Rhinolophus ferrumequinum: one gene and its partner. Each later gene encodes a partner of the first gene's protein in a complex. Links are inferred from orthologs where the notes say so. Each region holds a gene or a part of one and is shown on either strand. Other genes may lie near its edges.

Region 1 (11,559 bases):
AGTCAAGGTGGCTGTACTGGGCTCCTCAGTTTGACCAGTGGCCCAGGTGATGGGGCACTGACTTCAGGGGACACGGGACGAGGGGCACAGAGCCCCCAAAGCATCTTCATAACTCTTCTGTGAACCTCAATCTACGTCCAAAAGTTTAAGACAAGCAGGCAGGTATCTGTTGTGAAGCCTGAGGAACTGCTGTGTGAGAACGGGCAGCGAAGGGACAAGCCACACCTGCACGCAGCCAACTGACGTGATTGCGTCCCTGAGGAAGGAGCCGAGCCAGAGACCCTGGCCGGCCACTCCGCCCACCTGGGAACAGGCTCACGTTTTTAAATGGTTGGGTAAAATACAAGAATAACCTTTCACACCATGTGACACAGAGTCTACATTGTGTGTCCACGAGCTGAGAGCTTTCAGAGCCCAGCACGCCCACTCGTGGGCCCCCAGCCCACCGGCCACCCCGCAAGGGCGTGGGCAAGGGCGTCTCTACCTGACCACCTGCTGCTGCTGCATCCGAGGCAGGAGCTCCCTCCACTGGTCGTCACTCAGCTGCTCGTAGTGGATGTCCACACTCATGATGAGAGAGGCGGGGTTTTCTAGGTGGAAGACGGGAGGGGGAGGAGTGAGCCAACCGGTCTCAGGTCTGGGAAGCCAGAGGTCCAGCAGGCGGGCTGGGAGCAGGTGAAAGGCCCTAAGCTCACCAGGGACCAGCCGGAGCCTGAATACACAGTAACCTGAGGCCCTGAAGGTGGGGTTGGGAGAAGAGCCCTGGGTGCTGAGATGCAGGGAGTTGGCTTTCATTCAGGTGCTGCAGAAAGTCCTGGAAGTGATGCGATTTGAGCTGCCCTTTAAAATGGCCCTGCCCAACAGAATGACTCAGCCCCATGTGAGGACCTGGCTCCCTGAAATCCCCGGGTTCCTGAGAACAGTGCCTCACATGTTTGTGTGCCAGCTTGGCACTGCCTGGCTTTGCTGAATGGAGCCCACAGAGGGGAGAGTGGCCCAGGCCAATGCTCCACTTCCACTCCTGAGTGACGGCCAGCAGGAAAAATTCATGTTTGCTGATCCCAGCAGATGGGCCTGCTGAAACTGAGGTGAGGGCATCTGGGACTGGCCATGTCACCCAACTGTCACACAGAGGAGTTGAGTCTACCCAATCCGTAGCCAGAGCATGTGAGCAAAAGCGTATCCGCCCCTGCTGGGAGCCCAGGGTGTGGTCACCCAAACCCTGACTCAGAATCTTCAGTCATGGACCGGCCTGCTGATTCTGAGCCCTCCTGGGCCCAGGCTTAACCAGACATTGGGGTGTCCCCCTGGTTGGGCCTTTGGGCCAGGAAGACATTTCTTAATTTCTGGGGCTCAATGATCCCTTTGAGAACCCCATGAAAACATGCAACATCGCCCAAAAGATGCCCCGGTTAAAGGCCCCTAATCTAAACCTGGACAAGCACATTTCAGGCCCACCGCCTCACTGGGAGTCAGTCCCCCAGCTGGGCTGCTTCCTAGGGTCCCAAGTCTGGGGTCCAGGAGCAGAACAACGCCCCTAATCAGTGGTTTCAAGTGTGACAACTAGCAGCTCAGCAGGACCTGCCCTGAGGGCACGAGATGGGATTAGGCCTTCACCGGGGCAGCGCCCACGGCCTATGTCCCTATGTCTTCCGGGTCACTGAGCCGCGAGCAGGGTAGCCCTGGACCGCAGGTTACCTCTGCGAGGCGCGGGGAACAGCCGGGAGCGAACGGGGGTCCGCGCGAGGCCGCCCAGGGCCGCCGCCGCCCTCCGCGCCGGCCCGAGGCTCCGCGTGTTTCCGGGTGGCCTCGGGCTGGGGTCGGCGCGGTCACTCTAGGAAGAAACGGGCCGCGCTCAGACGGCGCTCGGACAGGGTCCCCGGCGCCCGGCCGCGCCCTTCTCGGGCCCCAGAACACGCCCGCAGTGTCGCCCGAGTTCGCCCGCTCCGCCAGGGGGCGCCGCAGAAGGTCCCCCGCAACCTGGCCCGCTCGGACCCCAGGACCCTCGAACCCCGGGAACCCCAGAATCTGCAACTCACCTCGCGCCGCGCCGCCGCAAACCCGACCAGCTGCTGCGGCCTGGACTGGGGGCGGGGCCGCCGGTCGGGGCGGGGTCCCGGCGGGGCGGCGGGCACTGGCCCCGGGGAGGGCCTGTCCCAGCGGCTCTTTCCGAGACGCGCGCCGAGCCATCGCCTCTAATTAAGTGTCGCCGCATTCCGCGGAGCCCAGCGTCAAGCTCCGCGTCCACATATGATTTTCCACTTTCTGGCCCCAATGGGCCTTTCGGCTTTATCTGCCAGAACAGGCAGGGCACGGGCCAGCTCGCCAAGAGGGGCGCAGGCGCGCGGGAGGGGGCGACCCCCACCGAGACCGCGGCGCGTCTCCCTTCTTCCGCCTCCTCCCAGCACCAGGCCGGTTCCGGGGCAGAAACAAAATACCCGACACTTCTTTGCTACCAGACTGGAAGTGGGAGAGATTGACGATTGTTTGTTGTGGACGTGCTGACATGGGTGAGACTGTAATTAATTCGTCAGGCTTTTGGGAGCGCAATGTGTCTTATGTAAAACACGCACACACCCATTTCGCCGTATCAATCAAGAGACCTATTCATGCATGAACGCAGGAGACACGTTCAAAACGTCTTTTTGCAGCCTTTTGTAACCGTCCAAACCTGGAAACAATCTAAAGGTCTATAAGCAGGAAATGGTTAAATAATTTACGACACATCCATACTCTGCTAGGTAACAAAACTATACTGACACGGAACGACCTCGGAGGGTGCATTGCTTAATTTTTTAAACTTGCACATCAGGACGTATAGCATTATGCTTGAACAACTCTTGAGGTGGACACTGCCTTGGCAGGTCACCTCCGTGGGCGCCCAGAGCTGCCGCGCGTGTCTGTCAAGCGGCTGCAGTCACTTATTCAAGAGCGTCCCCTCCTGACTTGTACACTTGTTAGAACAGGGATGTTCCACGAGTCCTCATCGCTCAGGAATTCATCAATTCAACCAACGGCTACTGAACACCTACTGTGTGCCAGGCACCGTTCTTGGGCTACATCCAAGGGCAAAGCAAGGCAAAGGTCTCAGCCAGCCCTCGTGGAGCTCAAGCTCCAGAGTGACGAAGGGAACTCAAAAGTAAATTAATAGTATTTAGAATGTGGGAAGTGCAAAGGAGGGAAATAACGCATAATAAAAGGGAATCCGGAATGCCGGAGTGGCGGGGCAGGGTCAGGCAGGTCCCTCACAGCGACAGCACACTGGCTGGGACGGGCCTGGAATATCCCCCACCAACGTCGCAGTGCTCACGGCAGACCTGGCCTAATCTTCGTGGCCGCCAGGGGGCAGCACATTGCGGATGTGGGATGAGGACCCCACTGGTTGCTGGGGTCGTCGGTTCTTTGCGGGAATAAAGTAAAGTGTGACTCAACTGGGACAGTAGCTTGCTGGGCACCAACTGACAAGGGGATCAGGGTGGACCTCACGAGCGCGCTGCGGAAGACCCACCGATCGCGGACCACGCAAGCGCAGACGACGCCTCCGCGCCGGACTCCCAGCGTGCCTCGGGAGTAGGCTTGGTGGCGGGTGCGCACGCGCGGCGGCGCACTCGGGCGCTCTGACGTCCTCCGTGCGCGCCGACGTCCGCTGGGCGGCGCTGCGGCCTCAGCGTGCGCGGCCCCACCTCGCCTGTGCCGGTCCGGGTGTCCCCGGTCCCCACAATTCCCGCGCCTACCCGCCTTCGCCCCGCCTCACGAGCGCCCGTCCAGCCGTGGCAGCAGGGCCGCAGCAGCAGCTGGCGCGCGTCCGCAGGCGACCCCACCAAAGCCGGCGCTGGTAAGGGCTGGCCCCAGGCTGGCCGGCCGTCGGACGGGCGCACGGGCTGTCGGACTGCGGGAGTGACTGACCTCGAGGCGACGGCGGACTGTCACTCGCCTGTAACCAGGAGGCAGACGGCCACTTAGGACGGGGGGATGGAGCGGGCCTAGCGGGGCGAGGTCTGCCGGGTCGCCACGAGCGGTGGGGGCGTGGTCTGGTCGGCGGAGGCTGGACCTCGCGTGGGGCGGGCGCCGGCTCTGCGTAGCGAAGTGGCGGGTTTCGGCGCACCCACGTGGTGGTGGGGCGGAGTCGTGGTCCAGGCGTGGCCCTCCCCGTTTCCCACGCGGCTGCGCTGGGACTGATGGACCGACGGGCGCGTGAGGTGAGCGGGCCTTGGATATGGACGTGGTGAGGACCCGGCCTCCGGGCTCGAGCTCGCCTCTCGGGGCCTGGTCGTGGCATTAACGCGGCGGGCAGGACGTGGGTTCCGTGACTTGGAGCCAAGTCTTAGTCTAGGTCTCAAGATTTTGCACAACAGGCCTCTGCGGCGCGTCGTAGGGCTGGAGAGAAATGTACTTTGATAGACAGGTAGACAGACGTGATTTTGTAGGAAAGAGTCAATGTTATTCGTTACGGCAACATTTGTAGTCTGAGTCATGTTTCACTCCTGTAACATTGTCAGTGACTGTTGACAGTTGTCTTCCTAAATGCACTCATTCAGTATTTACTGAGTAGCGCCTTTGTGCTGGGTCGTGTTGTAGGTGCTGAGGGTTCAACATTGAGCAGAACAGCTAGAAACCCTGGAGGATACCTTCCATCCAGTACTGCATTTGCTGTATGTAAGTTTACTGGTGATGGATTCTACCCGTTTTTGTTTCTCTGAAAATTTCTTTGTGTGTCCTCTGTTTTTGAAGGACATTTTTACTGGGTATAGAATTACAGGTTTGCAGTTATTTCTGTCAGCACTCTGAGGATGTTATTCCATTGTTTTCTGACTTCCACACTTTCTGTCAGTCTTATTGTTGCTCCTTTGAAGAAGGCATGTCTTCCTGGCTGCTTTAAAGATTTTCTCTTTATTTTCAGTCAGCAGTTCTATACAGCAGTCCCCCTTTACCCAAGGTTTCACTTTCTGTGCTTTCAGTTACCTGTGACGAACCATGGTCCAAAAATATTAAATGAAAATTCCAGAAATAAGCAAGTCATGAGGTTTAAGTTGTGCGCTGTTCTAATCTCGTTCTGCCCCTCCCAGGATGTGAATCATTCCGTTTGTCTGGTGTCTCCGTGCTGTAAACACCCCCTGCCCATTAGCCACTTAGTAGCCTTCGCAGTTATAAGATCGACTGTTACAGTATCGCATTGCTTGTGTTTAACCCTTATTTTACTAATAATGGTCCAAAGCGTAAAACTAGTAATGCTGGGAATTCAGATGTGCCAAAGGAAGGCCATAAAATGCTTGCTTTAAGTGAAAAGGTGAGTACAGTATAAGCTATTTTGAGAGAGAGCAAGACCACATTCATATAACTTTTATTACAGTATATTATAATCGATCTATTTTATTACCAATTAGTTATTGGTATTCATCTCTTTCTGTATCTAATTTATAAATTAAACTTTATCATGGGTATATATGTATAGGAAAAAACAGTGTTTGTAGGGTTCAGTACTGTCTGTGACTTCAGGAGTCCACGGAGGGCCTTGGAATGGATCCCCTGCAGATAAGCGGTCCTGCTGTACTGTGCCTGGATGTATTTTTCCTTGCATTTATCCTTCTCGATGCTCATGGTGCTTTTAGAACCTGTAGGTATCTTTTTTCAGTTTTGGGAAATTTGCAGCTCTTCTTTCTTTAGATGTGTTGGATTCCCATTCTCTTTCTGCTTTTCATCTAGAACTCCAATTATAAATATGCTTGGCCTTTTTCACTGTATCCCACATGTCTCTTCTGCTCTTTACTAGATTGTATATCCTTTTGATTCTATTGCATTCTAATTTTTTTGACCTGCCTTCTAGTTCACTAATTCTCCTTTATCTAATCTGCTGTCAAACCCATTCATTGAGTCCTTAAATTTAGTTTTTCTGTTTTAGAATTTTCATTTATTTGTTTGTTTTTTATTTCCAGGTCTCCCTAAATTTGGGAATCACGTCTTTTGGCTCCTTGAGCACATTAAGTGTAGTTATTTTAAAGTCCTTGTCTGATCACTCCATTATCTGCATCCCTGTTCTCTTTCATCACATCTTACTTCCTGGCATGCCTGATTACTTTTTATGGATGCGTGTTGCACGTTTTATGTTTAGGAAATCAGAGAATTTGATGATTGGACGATGCCCTGGATGATGTTCTCTTCTTCCACAGCAGACGGCTAGGTTAGGCCACTAGCAATCATCACAGCGTCTTAATCCTGACGGGGTTGGGATCACTTAAAGTCCAGCTTCAGTTCTTACTGGGGCTGGTCTGTTTCCTGCTTACTCTTTCTCTGGGGTGTAGCTCTTCCAGGATCCAACCCATAGCCTGGGGAACCTCCAGGAGGCCCATCCTCTTCACACAGGCCTTTAAATCCACTCTTCTCTTGCAGCCCTGGGAATCTGTAGAAAGTTCTGGTCAGCTTCTCAGCCTTGCAGCTACTGTTTCCTGATTCAGCAGATGCTTCTGGTGATTCGCCTGGGGCTGACCCCTCTTCTGGGTGTTAGCCTCACAATTCCTCACTGCCTCGGTAGCAGTTCTAGTAGGCATGTGGGGTTTTGTCTTAATACTGTACCCGGCTCTTTAGTTCTCAGCAGAGGGGTGTCCTGCATCCTGTCTTCCACCATCTCAGGAAATGGGACCCTCCCTCTTTTCAGGAGTACGAAGTGCAGCCTGTAGTTGGGTTTCTACTCCAAACCCTTGGGAAGCTCAGCAATAGGTATTTCTGAGAAACAGGTATGACCCACAGTGTCTTTGCATGTGAGAGTGGCTGACATGGAGTTAGCAACTCAGAACAGAGCAGGCCCCAGGCTCTTGGGGAGGCCAGAAAGGGGAATTGATTTTCTGTTCAGTACACAGGCCTTACTGGAGCTGGTAATGACACCAATGTGTAAGAAACATCACATTGATTTCCTTTTCTAATTAAAATCAAACCTGCTCTGAGCCGCCACTTGCCTGGGTGTTGAGCGCACAGTCAGACCACTCCAGTTACAGGGTGCAGAGTGGCTGCCATGAAGGTCAGTTAGGGGGCCTCACGGAGCCCACCCATCTTCTTGGAACCCCTGCGGGTCCAGCAAGGGTGGCAGTGGGGCCGGCCGGCCTGTGAGTTGTACAGACGGCCTTTGGCTGCTGAGGCACAGGTAGGGCTCAGTTGTGAGAGAGCAGGGGCAGGGGCGAGCAGGAGGCCATCAGGGTGTCCAGTGGGGAGAGGGAAAGAGAAGTCAGTGTTCTGAAGGCACAGTGGACTGAAGGTGGTGATGGGTTGGCTGTAGGGTGAGGGGAAGGGACACTTCAGAGTGTCAGCTTCAGTAGCTGAGGGTTTCGTGGGGCTGTTTACGAGAGGGGAGGACTGAGAGAGGACCACCTTGGGGTGGGTTGGAACTGTTTTAGGCATAGTAATTTGGGGATGCCCGTGAGACACCCGGGGGTTTACCGACTGGGCTTCAAGATGACTGAGTGGCGGCCATCACAACCTGGTGTGGGTACTTAATGCTGTGGGGGGAAGGCCCAGAGCTGACCCCTGGACAACTAGGGGATCCAGCATTCACTGTCAACTAAGGGGTCGAGGACAGCTGCCAGTGGCCCAGAGAGGCCAACGGGTGGTGCCAGTTCAGCCTGAAGCCAGTGGGGTTTGGCACCCCTCACTTGTACAGGCCCCCCCAGGGCACCAAGAGGGACCTAGCAAAGGGTTCCATCATCATATGTTGTCGAGTTAAAGCCTCTTTCCACTCCTCCATTATGCTTCCTCTCTGGCCAGGAGTACAGGGTGTCTCAGATGTGGGAAATGTTCCACAGGGAGCACAGATGTGGAAAACCCGAGTTAAGCATGTGTCATCCTCATTGCATTTGTACAAATTTTTTTGCAACATTTCAATATAAATAAGAAACTACACCTTCCTACTTTGGACAAACTGTCTTTTGCCACCTTTAAGTTTGTTTTTTAAAGAACAGGGAAATATTAGATAATAAAATATGAAAAAGTAGTAGAAATGACCACTGATACCAGTAGAAATTATTGAGACATCAAGGCACAAACTATAATAGAAAATTTTTCAGATCGTACCATTCACTAAGAGGAAGAAACAAATGTTAAATACAAGAGGTGAAGAGGGTCTGGAATTGTTGGGTAATTCATTAGTGGAGACAGGAGGAGGCGATGAGCGTGTTGGGAAGAGATGTGTGTTGCTCCCGGATTTGACACTTCATACTGACGACAGTGACGAGCGAGCTGGTCACACAACCCACATGGGCCTGGGTGGCGAGCTGCTTCAGAGACGCTTGAAGAGCTTTTAAGATTTGACACTTCTTAAGCAAGTGGAACCTTGTATGTGGAGTAAATTTGATCGAGCGTTTCCCAAATTTACAGTGAATTTTAAATGTACGGGATGTGAACATTTAAGAAGAAGAAAGTTGTGAACAATAAGAAGCTGTGAACATCAATGATAAAAAACATTTTTTAATTCAGTCAACCTTTCTGTATAAATTATGAAAATGTAATCTGAAGAAATGCTCAAAGAGTATACAGTAGATAATGTAGCAGAAACACATCATAGAGGTATTTCAGACAATACAAATGTTATGTTATTTTTCTGGATTTATAGGATAAAAATCACAAAGTCTAGGAAAATAATATTTGTTGTTTATGGTATTAATCTGCCTTTTAGATATGTAAATTGTGATTCTTTTCTAAATAAATATTCATTTTGTACCTAATTTTGTATTGTTTTGCTTAGAGTCCCCCTAGCCTAGATAAGCCTCAGGCTGCTACTGTTGTGGGGTCATGGAAACTGAGCAGTAAGACTTGCGTTACGAGGATGGTAACCAGCCGTGTTGTGTGTGATGTGGACTTTGAGTATCAGTAGAGACTAGAAAGCATCTGCCCAAGTGTGGCAGTTCCTGGGGTGAGCTTTGGTTGCAGGTTGAAACTGAAACGAATGGAAGGCCCAGGGAACGTTCCTACTGCAGCCTGGAACGTGCCGGGGGCCTGGTGCACTGTCCAGCATTGTGCTGAAGACTAGCGATGCAAAGCATGAGAATAAAGAAATGAAATCCACCTCTTAAAAAAGATCCGACTACCATGATTTGCCCATGATATTGCAAATAAAATGAGTACCTATGAAGAACGTCCAAGAGAAATGACTTAGAACTAGTAAGAGAATTGAGTAAGGAGCCTGGATACAAGCTGGATGTATGAAAATCAAAGCGTCCTAGGCACCCAGTAACCAATTAGAAATATAGGAGAAAACAGATTTTATTCACAATAGCAGTGACGCTCCTACGCTGCCTAGAACCCAACCTAATAAATGTGTAGGCGATGTGAAGAAGAGTATGTTTAACTTCCCAAGAAATAAATATAAAATATACCCTATTCCCAAAGGAGATTAATCAACACTGTGAAAATACCAATTCTTCTCAAATGAGCCTGTTAATCTAGTGCAACCCAAAGGAAAATCCCATCTAGAGTTTTAAAAGGAACTTTACAGACTGATTCTGAAGTTCACCTGGAAAATAAACTGTCAGAGCCAAGTAATGTTTGAAAAAGAGAGGCAACGAAGGAGACTTGGCGGCACCTCATTAAAAACTGAGAGCGACCACAGCACGTGCTCACAGCCCTGCTGCTGTGATGGAGCCAGTGTCAGAACAGGATGTGGAACAGAGCGGGAGCTTCTGTTAGGCCTCAGTGTGTCAGGGATTTCGGTCACAAAGAAGGAAGCAGCCCAGTGGGGAGTGGGGGTGTCAGGAGGACGACAGTTGAACAGCTTGAAGGGCAAGTTCATTTGGGGAATATACTTGATGCCACACACAGAAGTAAGGAAGCAACACAAAAGAATTAGAAGGAAACAGACTACTGCTTGGTATACATTGGAGTTGGGAAGGTTTACTTAAGCAAAGCATGAGACCTGAAGCAGTAGAGGACAAAGGGACAGATTTGACTAAATAAAAATTTTAAACTATAATACAGCCAAATTAAAAATTAAAAACCCATGGCAAGTCAGATAAAAGTATTTGCAACGTATATAACAGCAAGTCACTGGTGTCCAGAATGTGCTAATTGTAACTCAATCAGGCAACACCATATGAAATAGACAATGAGTATGAAGTCACAGTGCACAAGAGAAATGTAACTGGCCAAGAGACTTTGTAAGGCTCTCGATTCTACTGGTCGTCAGAAAATGTACAGTAAAGCAACAAGAATACATTGCCTTTGGCTCATCAGTTAAAATTTTAAAGACTTATTGTTTATGGTTGGTGAGAGTTTAGGGAATTTGGTGTTACCATCCAGTGAAAATGGGAATGCCAATTTATACTAGCTCACTGGAGGACACCTTGCATATCGATCAAAATGTAGGACACCTGTGTGTTTTTATTAGCAATTCTGCTTTTGGGTGTCTGTCCTAAGGAAGTCCATAGAAGGGTGTTCATTACCTCATTGCTCGTAACAGAAGACAATTGGAAACAACGCTAATATCCAGAAGTAGGAGAACGGTCAGTGTGCCCGTGTCCAGTCCTGAGGACGGAAGGCCCTCAGATATGACAAGCAGAGAGGAATCAAGTGGGGGACTTGGTCATTAAAGGCTGCAAGGAGGAGAGAGAGGCAGGAGACACCACCCAGAGCTGAGGGGTGCCCAGCACCCAGGAGCCCACAGCCACTGCCGTTCTGAAGGAGAGGCTGGGGAGCAGGACTCCCACCCAGGCCAGGGGCACGCCATCCCCTGCAGGCAGTCCCCCAACGGAGAGCACTGCCAGAAGCAGAGCACAGCGCTTCTTCCTTCCCTCCACTCGTAGCTCCTGCTAGCACCTTCCATGGGCGGAACCTGACCAGAAATGAGTGTCTGGAGTGTACTTTGTGGGCTTCCTACCCTGGAATTCAGCAGCCAGCATAAGGTAGAGCCGAGAGCCAACAGCTGGAAGCCTAACCCAGTAAATTAAGTTCAGGTAAATCTGTCACATGGAACACTGCGCCGATGAAAAGAACAGGGTGGTCTACTTCCTACATGGGCGATGAAGAAGCCATGTCCCAGGACAGGATGTGTGTCTCGTTGTGATAGGGAACACCACGTGTGTGTACATACATGTGATTCATGCAGAGAATTAGGATCCATACTCACTGTTACGTAGATGTACAGAAAAGAGCACAGCAGACCTCAGTGGTGATTCTCAGAGGCCCGCCCGGACGTGGGGGCCACCTTTGAAGTGTTGTTTTACTCTCATTGTTTGAATATTTAACAATGACACTATATGAATTTATTACTTGTAAGTTTAAAAATACAAGTACAGTATTTTTTTTTAAGACATGAAAGATGCCAGGGATCCAGTGAATTGGCATGGGTTAACATGGGTGGGGATGTTTGAAACCAGGAGCTTTCATTTTGGAAAGGCCAACCAGATGACTCAGACTATTTCCTATTGCTCAATTTAGCATCACCTAAGATCGAAGCATTGGGGTTAACTTTGTATGTCACACATTATCCGCCTTTCCCTTTCTGCTTTTTCACTATGGAAACAAAAGGTAGAAGGAGAGAGACACTAAATATAAATATAATGTCCGCACAGATTGACATCC
Region 2 (11,307 bases), on another chromosome or scaffold:
GGGATATAAACTGAAAGCAACAAAGGAACAGGCAAACAAAGAAACAAAAACTCATAGACATAGACAAGAGTTTAGTGGTTACCAGAGGTAAGAAGGGGGAGGTAAAAGAGGGAAAAGGGGGTCAAATTTATGGTGATGGAAGGAGAGCTGACTTTGGATGGTGAACACAATGTGCAATATATAGATGATGTATTGTAGAAATGTATACTTGAAACCTATATAATTTTACTAACCAATGTCACCCCAATGAATTTAATAATAATAAAAAAAGAAATAGTACCCATTAAGAGCTTTGAGTAAGAAAAATACATTTAAATACATTTATTTTTGTCTTGTTCTCACTGGCCATGAATCGTTTTCATTATGAAAGGTCTTTATGCACCACCGAAAACCTGTTTTCAGTCTTTTCTTCCATTAAGCATCACAGCCTCTACTGCTAGTGTCATGGAGTCTTGCATGGTTCTAAGGGGGAAATGCAGACACCTGCTCTGCTGTGGTAAGACACACTAAAGAAAGGAGCTCACTTTTCGCTCACTGAAGTACTCTGGGAGCTAGAACCTTTGTCAGATCTTTCTTCGAAGCGCAGCGTCCAGGTAGCTCTCTAGATCTGGGGAGTTTTCTCATCTTTGCTCATTTAGATTCAGAGAATTATAGAACAAATGAGTTGTAAGAGAATTTAGTGATAATCCATGCTAACATTCTCATTTTATTATTTTATTCCCTCTCTTATTTTATATATGAGGAAATTTAGAGGTAAATTAAGTTGGTTGAAGAGGTTTTCCAATTGTGGCTGAACATTTCGATTATCAGGAGAGATTTAAAAATAATGATTATCAGGTCTACCCAAGGCAAACTATATCAGAATCTCTGGTGGTGGGATGCAGGCATTACTATTTTTAACAAGCATCCAAAGGGATTTATTGAAATATCCCTCAAATTATAAGAGACAAAGCTGGGAAAAAACACTTTTTCACTGACTTCTATATTACCTGAGCTGTTTCTACTACACCATTTCTCTGTTTTTGATAATTCACCCCTCTATAGTGGCAACCACCCATTGTTGCCTCTTTATTGGAGAACTGAGCTTTTCATTTGTTTTTTTATATGATATTATGAATATTAAATATCATGACATCCTCCTCCTCCATGAAAAAGACATTCCATTTCTTCCACATCACCTTTTGATTGTGTCCTTATAGCAGATATCTTTTCTAAGGTATTCTCTCTCTTTCTAGTCAGTGCCCTTATGGCAGATATCTCTGGTCTCTTGAGACCCCCCAGCCCTCTACAATTAATTCATTTAAGATGTATTTATTTGCACAAGGTCACAAGACATAAATATGAATAAGACATGGTTTTTGCCCTTGTAAACACACAGTATAATGGAGGACACTGAGAAGAAAGAATTCCTGTGGAACTTGGGAAGTGTTATAATCGAGGTATGTATGAGATGCTGTGGAATCACAGATAATGGAACGGGCAAGGACATTACAGAACATGTAACATACTGTTTTTTTGCAGAGGAAAAATATGTTCTCTTGATCTACTATTAGAATTGAAATATTCATAACCTTTATAGAGGACAATTGATAATATCTAATGCCTTATCAAAAGCTCATGACCTCTGAACACATCTAGAGATTTATGCCAAGGAAGTAATAGGACAAGGTGTAGTGGATGCTGTGGTGTGTGTTGCAATCCCCCACTTCAGGACCAAGGCACTCATTCCCCAGCTGCTGGAGTGGTAGTGACAGCTCTCAGCCAAGTCCCTCTCAGGGAATCACCCACAGTGGCCTCAGGTAAAGCCTTCTCCCCCCGAGGCAGTCCACATCTCGTGAATGGACAATGAGGGGGTACAAAGGTCTGGCCCCTTTACCTTAATTTGGGACAACTCTGAAGGATCACTCTAGCTCTAGAGCTTCCTGTGGGATTGGCTGAGACCTTCATTGTGACTGCATCAGAATTCAACTGCCCAGTTGTGCCTCCTTTACTCCCTTATTAAGTTTGGTCCCAAGACCACTCTCCAATAAACTTCCTGAATGCAAATCTTTCTCAGTGTCTGTTTGCTGGGGAACCTGACTCATGACATAAGAGTATAAATGCAAATGTGGATTGGTTTTTATTTTAGAATGTGTACATGTAAAAAGTTGTAAATATTATGAATGTCCAACAATAGAGAATTTGTTTAATGTATTAATGATACATCCATAACATGAAATATTATAGAGCCGTTCAGAATAGTGTAGATATTTGTTGACTTGGAATAAATGTTTAGGATGCATTTTTTGAATAAGCTTTTTGGTTGAAATATAACATACATGCAGAAAGATGAACAAATTATGTAAGTATATAGCTCAATAAATTAATCCAAAGTGAACACATCTTTGTTCACCACTATTTAAAATTAGTTTATTTTTAAATAGTCATGACAATTGTTAGTAAAATTACATAGATTTCAGGTGTACAATCCTGTATCACATCATCTATAAATTACATTGTGTGTTCACCACCCAGAGTCAGCTCTCCTTCCATCAACATATGTTTGATTCCTTTAGCCTCATCTAAGATCCCCCCGTCCCCTTTACCCTCTGGTAACCACTAAACTATTGTCTGTGCATTTTAAGAGAAAAGCAGAATCTGAAGCAGTATATATAGTATCCCAAATTATATAAAAACATATACATAGCATTAAAAAAAGTGTGGAGAATTACACACTAAAATGCTAATGTTTTTCTAGATGATGAAGATACAAATAATATATTTCTATTTGTTTATCAGGAATTTTAATAATTTGTATCTTTTTAAATACTTACCATCCACTTGGTAACTTGGAGAAATATATGCTAGAACTTCCTAATGAATAATTACTGACTGTTGAGTTGTTCCCAAAATTCATTAAAATTCATTAGAGTACCCTCTAATTCTATATTATAAATGCTATTACTAGATGTATCTCTAATTTCTGGGTCTCTGATAAGATTATATTCCTGAAACTTTCTATTTACCCAATGAATTGATGATGGAACCACAGAAAGGTCACCATTGTTTTTTCTTACTATAGGAATTAACATATAATAAATTAGTATATTAAATTGCAATGCTTATTCTTTATGCCACCTCAGCGATACAATTAAAAATTTAAACTTCTTCAAATGTGAATACACAGAACACATTTAATTTTTTTCATAGAAAGATAGGAGTTTGTATATTTTATTTAATATGAAAATATACAAAGTCCATATTGGGATAAAAATCCATTTCTTGCTGGTCTTTTGACAGGAATTCAGGAGGGTGGAATGGGGGGAAGATGAGAATTTTTCTCTCCCTTTCTGTGTATCTGTGTGAATGAGTTTGTTTTTTAGTTAAACCAAAGGCACTTAATTGGCGAATACAGCCACAAAAGCAATTTTGTCTATGTGAAAAGGATAAAAGTCTTAAGGAAATAGATCTTATATTAAGATCCAATCTTTCTTCCTGGGAAGTATTGAGAGGAAGATCGTTAGAAGAAGAAACACTGCAAAAAACAAAATGTTTTAACTGGGCGGGATCTTACAAAGCATCTTTCTTCACTCTTTCATTTCTCAAAAAACAATACTAAGGCTCAGAGAGGTCCCATGATTTGGCCACAGTCACTGCATGATCTACTGATGGAGGCCTCATGGCCCAGCTTGGGGAGGGGGCTGGGTTGCCAGATCAGATTGCAGTGCGTGAAGGCATCAGGACTGTTTAATCCAAAACTCAAAGCAGGTCAGCCAGTGGGGTCAGGAAGTTGGACTTTGTGACTCAATAAAAGGCTCCGCTTAAGCAGATGTGAGACTTGTCCCCTAAACTGGGTAAGGCTGGACTCTCTTCACTCGATATGCCTGAATGGACTTCCCCATCCATGTGCTTTGTCCCTTGACAATGTCTCCCAGCTTTGGGAAAAGAAGAACTGTTGTGCTCATTGCAACAGTCCTAATGATTAACACAAGGTGGAAAGCAGGAGATGGAAGACGGAAGATCCAAAAAATTTCAAAGCAAATGACTTTTCTCAAGACCTTGCTTCCTTGATGTGAGGAACTGACATGTGAGGCCTCTTAAAGAGAGGGAGGGATGCTGCTAAACTCCTGGGGGCTTCTTCCTCCTAAACAGGTTCCTCTTCTTCCAGGACCCCCAGTGGAATCAACAAATGTGTCTCAGGGACTAGAGAGCTGGGAGCCTGGACCACTCATCCTTCCTTGCCTTCTGTCTCCTCTGAAAGCTGCTCCAATGGAAGTGCCTCTGATTGTGTCTCAGTATGAGTTCCCAGTTCCTCTAACTCCACAGGTGGGGGAAGCAGCAAAGCCATCCCTGCCTTTTCCCACCACACTTCACAGCAGGAAGAGCGGTGGGAGAACTCTGGGGGAAATGCACAGCTAGAAGAGATCAATTTCACAACAAGATATTGCAGACCTTCGGGAGCACATCCCGGGGGCTGTTCCCTACCTATGGCACACCAGGCAGCATAGTGTAGTTACCACACTATCCTGGAACTCGGGGACCACACTATCCTGGAACTCGGGGACCTGAGGCAGGTTTCTGTTTCTGCTGCCCAGGTGCTGTCTGACCTTGGGCCTGCTGTGGCCCTCAGGCTCCTTCAGGCTCCTTGTGTGTTTATAGTGGGAGGACGAGAGGAAGGTCCCTTACCTTGCTTTTGTCCTTCCATTCCTTGAGTTCAGGGTAATTGACTATCTTTTACACAATGAAGTCTTTTGCAAGGCATTCAAGATACTTCTTTCTCAGGCCTACACTTTTCTCTTCTGTGCCATCCCCCACCTCCTCCTAGTCACATGGAGGAACTTGCTATTTTCTTTTTTTTTTAAAGATTTTATTGGGGAAAGGGAACAGGACTTTTATTGGGGAACAGTGTGTACTGCCAGGACTTATTTCCAAGTCAAGTTGTTGTCCTTTCAATCTTAGTTGTGGAGGGTACCGTTCAGCTTCAAGTGGTCCTTTCAGTCTTAGTTGTGGAGGGAGGGCATAGCTCAGCTCCGGGTCCAGTTGCCATTGCTAGTTGCAGGGGGCGCAGCCCACTATCCCTCGAACCGACAACCTTGTGGTTGAGAGGACGTGCTCCAACCAACTGAGCCATCCAGGAGCTCAGCGGCAGCTCAGCTCAAGATGCCATGTTCAATCTTAGTTGCAGGGGGCGGAGCCCACCATCCCTTGTGGGACTCGAGGAATTGAACTGGCAACCTTGTGGTTGACAGCCCACTGGCCCATGTGGGAATCGAACCGGCAGTCTTCAGAGTTAGGAGGACGGAGCTCCAACCACCTGAGCTACTGGGCTGGCCCGGGCTATTTTCTAAACATAGTGTTCTGCCACCAGTGTTTACTTCTCTTTCTGGACTTTTTCTTCTGTCTGAATTGCCCTCCCCTTACCCCAGTGAAAAAACTATCCTTCAAAGTCCTTCCCAAGGTAATCTTTGCTCTGAAATCTTCCTGATCCCTCCCACTCCACCCCTTTTCTCCCACTGCTTTCTAATAACCCTGTCCTTGTTTGTACCGGAGCTCTTATCAAGGTCTGGTTTGTATTACAACTCTAGGGGCTGCTTCTGTTGGGGAGAATTCTCAGCACTTGGATCTAAAATAAAGTGCTTGATTTAATTGCTTAGCTCTTCTTAGGAGAGGACAAGGTCTGTGGCTCTGATGGAGACTGCAGATTCCAGGCTCCCAGATCGCTTAGGTGCCCTGCCTTCCTCTCTTACCAGCTGTTTTCTTTCACACAGGAGTCCTGGTCAATAATGAATGCTATCAGAAGAGCTGGCACAAATGGACTGCTCTTAGGTAAGGGGTGGGGGCACTGGTGCTTGTCCTAGAAGGGAAGGGTGGGGGACGATCTCCTAAAATGGAGGAAACCAAGAGACCACTGAACCACCCAGGAGGACAAGTAATTAGGTCTTCTCCTGTCAGGAACCGTAGACACCCAAGTCTCTGTCTTTCTTCAGACACCGTGGGCAATATCTGACCTCCACTTAAGAAGACCCAGGGCTTGGAGAAGAATGTGCTCTGTCCTTGGGACTGAAGAAAACAGTTCTAGTGTCAGGAGGCTGGGAGGGGGAGATGGGAGACCAGGGCCATTCTCTGTGTGTTCTGGAGAACAGGCTATTGACTACACCTGGTAAGCTCACACAGACGTCAGGGCTGCCCCCTGGGAAAGTACAATCTGTTCCTGGTTGGCCTCAAACAAGGGCTCAGATGTTGGAACCCCTTTCTTTCCCAGTTAGATGTATGGAGACAAATGGGCTTGGAAAGAGAAATGAGAAGTCTTACAAAATGGGGATCATCAACAGGAGTGATAACCTGCACAGTCTTGAAAGCTTTTTGCCCTTGTGTAGTTGTCATGTGAGATGAAATGTTGGGGTGTGGGCAGGAGGCATAAATTGGGAGAAGATTGTACAATGTTTCGCTGGGGAAGGGGTTTCTCAGTTGAGGCCTATAAATGCATAGCTTGTGACAGGCTTGAGGGGCCATGCTGTTTGTCCCCTAAGAGATGTTTTAGCTTCATAGGATCATAAAGTCTCCCAAGTTACTACAATACAAATTGAACTTGGTCTCCGTGGAGTTAGCTCCAGAGCGTCCAGAGCCTCACTCCTGAAGAGGAGTCAGGGAAACGGTGCTTAACTTGGGAGAGGAGCAGATAGCTGCTTGAGAGAAAATGGGAGGTGTGAGTGGACCCTTGCCACACAGCCTGTCTCTAAGGAGACTCTTTGGGGCTCAGAGCCCACAGATGCAGTGTAGTTCCCATCTTACTGGACTGCCTTTGGCTCTAGGAAGATTTCAGAGATTAATTTCCAGGCATTCTGTGGAGGGGACAAAAATGCACTTCCCTTCACTTTCCTCCACACCTGGGATCAGGCCAGTCACTGATGTGTCTTTGTGATGTGATGCGATGTGATCTTGAGACCCTGCCTTGAACACTCAAGTTTGCCCTCTCTCCACACTCTTGTGCTTCCTCACATGCACATGAACAAACTTTGTCTAGTCTCCTGATCTGTCTTTTGTCAGTTAATTCTCAGGCTCCCTGATATGAACCTAAATGGATAGGAAAAGTTTTCCTCCCAGCACCCCTTAAGATGATAAGAGTACAAGGACTAAGAGACAAACGAAACATACCGTGTTTCCCCCAAAATAAGACCTAGCCAGACAATCAGCTCTAATGTGTCTTTTGGAGCAAAAATTCACGTAAGACCCAGTATAATATAATAATATAATATAATATAATATAATATAATATAATATAATATAATATAATACTGGGTCTTATATTAATTTTTGCTCCAAAAGACACATTAGAACTGATTGTTGGGCTACGTCTTATTTTTTGGAGAAACAGGGTAGGTGGAGGGTAGGGTAGTGGGTGAATTATGGGAACATTAAACTAAAAACTCATGCCATGCTATGTCTTCCTGTGACCCACTTCCACTTCAAAATTCGTACACATCAGCAAATAACATTGACCTGACTAAAGATTTTTTGGATATCATGGGGTAAAACAGTTTTAAAATTTCCTTTTAAAGAATTCTGTTCTTTCTACCAAGGTCCCTCTCTTCTCTCCTCTTCCCCTTTCCTCCCCTCCCCAGGATTTTAAAACTGCCCACTGTTTTCAGCTCAGGTTTTTATCAAAACAAAGGTCTGGAAATTATTTGACTCCACCCCCCTGTAAAAAAAAGATCACCCAGTGTTATTTAAATAGATTCCTTTGGGGGGATCTGAACAGCACCCCATGTGAATAATCACAGAACTACTACCATTTATAGATTCTTTCTAAGCACTACTTTAAGCACTCTGCTCATCTTACCTTATTTCATCCTAATAGTAAATCTAAGAGGTACATATTATCCCCATTTTAGAGACCTGGAAACTGAGGACCAGGGTAATAAATCAAGTTCTGTAACTTGCCCATTTCTTAAGATGCTAAACCAGAATTTGGCCTCAGATAGTCTAAATACAGAGCATGGAGGGAATTTTGATAATTTTCACTCAAGAGGTATCAAAATTGTCACCTAGCAAAAACAGATCTCGCTCTAGGAGGAAATTCTGCTGCTAAGAAATGTGATGCTCTCTATTTTTTCTTCAATAGGGATTTGGGATTTTGGTTTATCTTTAGTTCCTCTACTAAATTCTGACCTACAGGATGAATGGTCACTGTAGATAAGAACTGTCACAAACTTACCTTCAACATCTCAGGAGTATTAAAGTGGCCCAAACAGGGTCAGGTCACATAGAGACTTCCTTCTTCTCGACCTGTTCAAGCACTTGCCCCTTCCTTCTCCAGCTCTGGGAAGCCTTCCAGCTAGAGACGGCTGGGTACCCCTCCCTGCTCCCCCCAGGAGAGGTGCTGTTGGGAGATGTGAAATTCTGGTCAAAGCCACTCCAGGACTCCGGGGGAGGGACAGGACCTCCTTTTCCCTCCACCTCCTGTGATCCATGTTATGTGCCCTTTGCTAACTTCCAAGGGCTATTTGGTGAAAATGAGATAATAAGGAGCTGGTTGGGGTTTGAGCATCAGTGCTGTAGTGGCTCTCTCTGCTGCTCCTTGTGAACCAGCAGACAGATGTGATTCACATGGTAAGACAGGTCCCTATCAACAAAGACTCACCCTCCCCAGCAACCCTGAGAAGAGGGTGGCCAAGGTAACTCCCCACTCCTTCCTCACAATGCCCTTGTTTTCCTCTGGACTGAAACCAAGATGCTCCTCCCACCCTTCCCTTCTAGGAAGCCAAGCCGCTTTGTAATCTCCATAAAGTCCACAGTCCAGGGATCCAGCGACTGCAGAAACTGGCCTTCCACTTGCTCTCTCCTGGAATCCGAGCTAGAGACCCAGGTAGTGGTCCAAGAAGTGGATTCAGGAGCTGCTTTTGCTTGAGGGTTGGAGCGAAGGGAGCTGGGGTGAGCGAGGATAGCACTGAGAAAGCTTGGATTAGGCAAACATCAGCTCGGGCAGAGCTGGAATAGGGGATGGAGTGCTAGGGCTTCGGAGAACCCATGGGGCTGGAGAAGGATGGGGGGAGGCGAACATCTCTCTTTGGACTACAAGGCGTCCCTTTATGATGCCAGTGTCAGGCACTGGGTTGAGTTTCCTTTGTGTTCTACGACAACAGGGCTCTGTCGGCCATGATCCTCTATGTCATGGTGGTGTCAGGGACACAATTTGGCTCATGGTTTATTCAAAAGATCTTCTATTGAGCCACTAGAGCACTGAGTACAAATATATTTTATTTTTTAAATGTATTTTAGATAAAAAAAAAAAAAAACCCTCCAGTATTCAAAGACAGGACTGCCAAAATTTAGGTTACTTCCAAGGTCACCACCCAGAGGGGAGGACCTCCTCTCTGTAGCTAGTGGGAATTAAATGCTCTTGGAGAAGAGTATATGCGAGTATTCATTACTTGGAAAATCTTGCAGGAATAGGGGCATTTTTCTGACTAACCTGAAGGGAGATTGTAAAGCAGGGAGGCCACAGGTAGAGCTGGGGTTCTCTTTCTAACGTGATGCTTTTCCTCCTTTCTCCCTTTCCTGGCTAGGTAGGTTCCTCTTGGGGGAGTGAGGCCACCATGGCTCAGGAGAAGCCCCTCTTCCTGTTCCCACTGCTAGTCCTCGTGCTGCTGGTGCTGGGGTGGGTCCAGCCTTCCCTGGGGAAGGAATCGCGGGCCATGAAGTTCCAACGACAGCACATGGACCCGGACAGCTACCCCAGCAACAACCCTAACTACTGCAACCAAATGATGAGGCGCCGGGAAATGACGAAGGGATCATGCAAGCCGGTAAACACCTTTATCCACGAGCCCATCGTAGATGTCCAGGCCGTTTGCCTCCAGGGAAATGTCACCTGTAAGAATGGTCAGCCCAACTGCCATCGGAGCAGCTCCAGCATGAACATCACGGATTGTCGCCTGACGTCCGGCTCCAAATATCCCAACTGTGTGTACCGGACCAGCCAGAAAGAGAGGCACATCATCGTGGCCTGCGAGGGGAATCCATATGTGCCGGTCCACTTTGATGCTTCAGTAGAAGTCTCCATCTAAGACCAGAACAGCAAGATGCCTCGCCTCATTATTGCGTTACCTGCCTCTCCCTTCTTCCTTCCTTGCCCTAAGAGAAATAATTCAAGTTAGGGCTCCTATCCAACACAACTTGCTTCCTTGGCCTGAGGCTTGCCCCTGTGTGGTTTGGTAGGTGAGGAGTGAGTTGTGAGGTGGGCCCCATGTTAAACCACTTCACCTCTTCTTTCAATAAAACTCAGTTGCAACCACCTGAATTCCTGAAGGTGTCCTTATCCAGGTTACTGTTCATATGATTGCTTTCCTGCCAGGGGTGAGAACTGTAAATCTGGTTAACTTTGGTGAGCTGCAAATGGAATCATTAAATGCCTCCTCTTCTGACCTCAGATCATTCCTTTCCTTGTAGATTCTTTGATGCCAAGTATGAATTTTTAAGTGTTGTGGAGGAGAGACTGTTCCATGATGGGACCTGCAAGCTGGTCCCAGGTCAGAACAGAGATTGCTTCCCACAAGCCCTGCTTAGAAACTGTCTGACCATAATCGAAATTCATTCTGATCCTAATCAATGTTCATTCTGAAATAAATCAGGACCCCCTCACTTGCCTCCTGTGACTTGCTAATTCCTGGAGCGGGCTGTTGTCCTGACCTGGTCAGGCGTGTAAAATAATTTCTGTACCTGGTAGCATTCACGTACTAGTAGTACCTGTGACTACCCCCTCCTTTTACCCTGTATAATTCTTTGGCACCTGTCAAGTGCCGCAGTGATCCATTCTGTCTTGCAGCCACCCAAGGCATGATTTTATGTAAGTGTTCCTTAATGAACTTTATTATTTAAAAACTGGAATGCCCAACCTCTTTCTTTGATCTTTCCCTGCCCTCACCGTAGGGAGGTACATTTTCTGTCCCAGGACCTTTCCATGGGTCTGTGTGTACTAACAAGTACGGGCTGTTTTAGATAAAAGGGAGCTACAGAGGACCTTGTCATCCTGGGTGAACTGATAAAAGGTGAAGCTCAAATCCTAAAATCGCTGACATGGAAGGAAGGACAGCGTGACCTCAGGAGGACCCTGCTCAGCCTCAGTGTGGAGAGGAAGAGTGTATGAAATTGTGATTCTAAATTTCTATTTTGTTTTTGTTTTTTTCTGAGGGAGCTATTATTAAATCAGAAAATTGGTCGTCTCTTACTTGGAAAGTTGAAATCTTCGATTTAGGAGCTAGAAGGGACTTTTGAGGGAGACTGAGTAGACTTCAGCTTGTATATCAACTAATTGGAAACGCCTGCCTA

What was found.
Region 2: the proteins of RNH1 (region 1) and RNASE1 are in contact, whole or in part, in a crystal structure (PDB 3TSR), measured with the Mus musculus proteins. The link is inferred for Rhinolophus ferrumequinum from reciprocal best matches to the Homo sapiens genes RNH1 and RNASE1. Residues at the interface, in NP_001165571.1 of Mus musculus: Cys7, Asp32, Thr60, Asn89, Asp117, Glu145, Tyr146, Asn174, Glu202, Trp257, Trp259, Glu283, Ser285, Trp314, Lys316, Glu340, Glu397, Ser401, Asn402, Gln426, Val428, Tyr430, Asp431, Ile432, Tyr433, Trp434, Thr435, Asn436, Glu437, Arg443; in NP_035401.2 of Mus musculus: Arg26, Glu27, Lys32, Gln36, Pro48, Thr49, Gln53, Lys56, Arg57, Met60, Asn62, Gly63, Ser64, Cys65, Lys66, Pro67, Val68, Asn92, Lys94, Asn96, Leu111, Lys112, Gly113, Asn114, Ser115, Lys116, Asp121, Ala134, Glu136, Val143.

What each region holds. Positions count from the first base shown.
Region 1 is NC_046294.1:269,944-281,502, forward strand, and holds the start of RNH1 (ribonuclease inhibitor), read right to left. Parts: upstream 4,295-11,559; 5' UTR 4,280-4,294; coding exon 3,907-4,279; intron 2,461-3,906; exon of another isoform or gene 2,191-2,460; coding exon of another isoform or gene 2,040-2,190; intron 1,835-2,039; exon of another isoform or gene 1,699-1,834; intron 824-1,698; exon of another isoform or gene 796-823; coding exon of another isoform or gene 696-795; intron 591-695; coding exon 485-590; intron 1-484. UniProt on the Homo sapiens protein: Ribonuclease inhibitor which inhibits RNASE1, RNASE2 and angiogenin (ANG). May play a role in redox homeostasis. Required to inhibit the cytotoxic tRNA ribonuclease activity of ANG in the cytoplasm in absence of stress.
Region 2 is NC_046289.1:71,814,845-71,826,151, reverse strand, and holds RNASE1 (ribonuclease pancreatic), read left to right. Parts: upstream 1-5,479; 5' UTR 5,480-5,540; intron 5,541-5,747; 5' UTR 5,748-5,805; intron 5,806-8,736; 5' UTR 8,737-8,889; intron 8,890-9,545; 5' UTR 9,546-9,575; coding exon 9,576-10,046; 3' UTR 10,047-10,279; downstream 10,280-11,307. UniProt on the Homo sapiens protein: Endonuclease that catalyzes the cleavage of RNA on the 3' side of pyrimidine nucleotides. Acts on single-stranded and double-stranded RNA.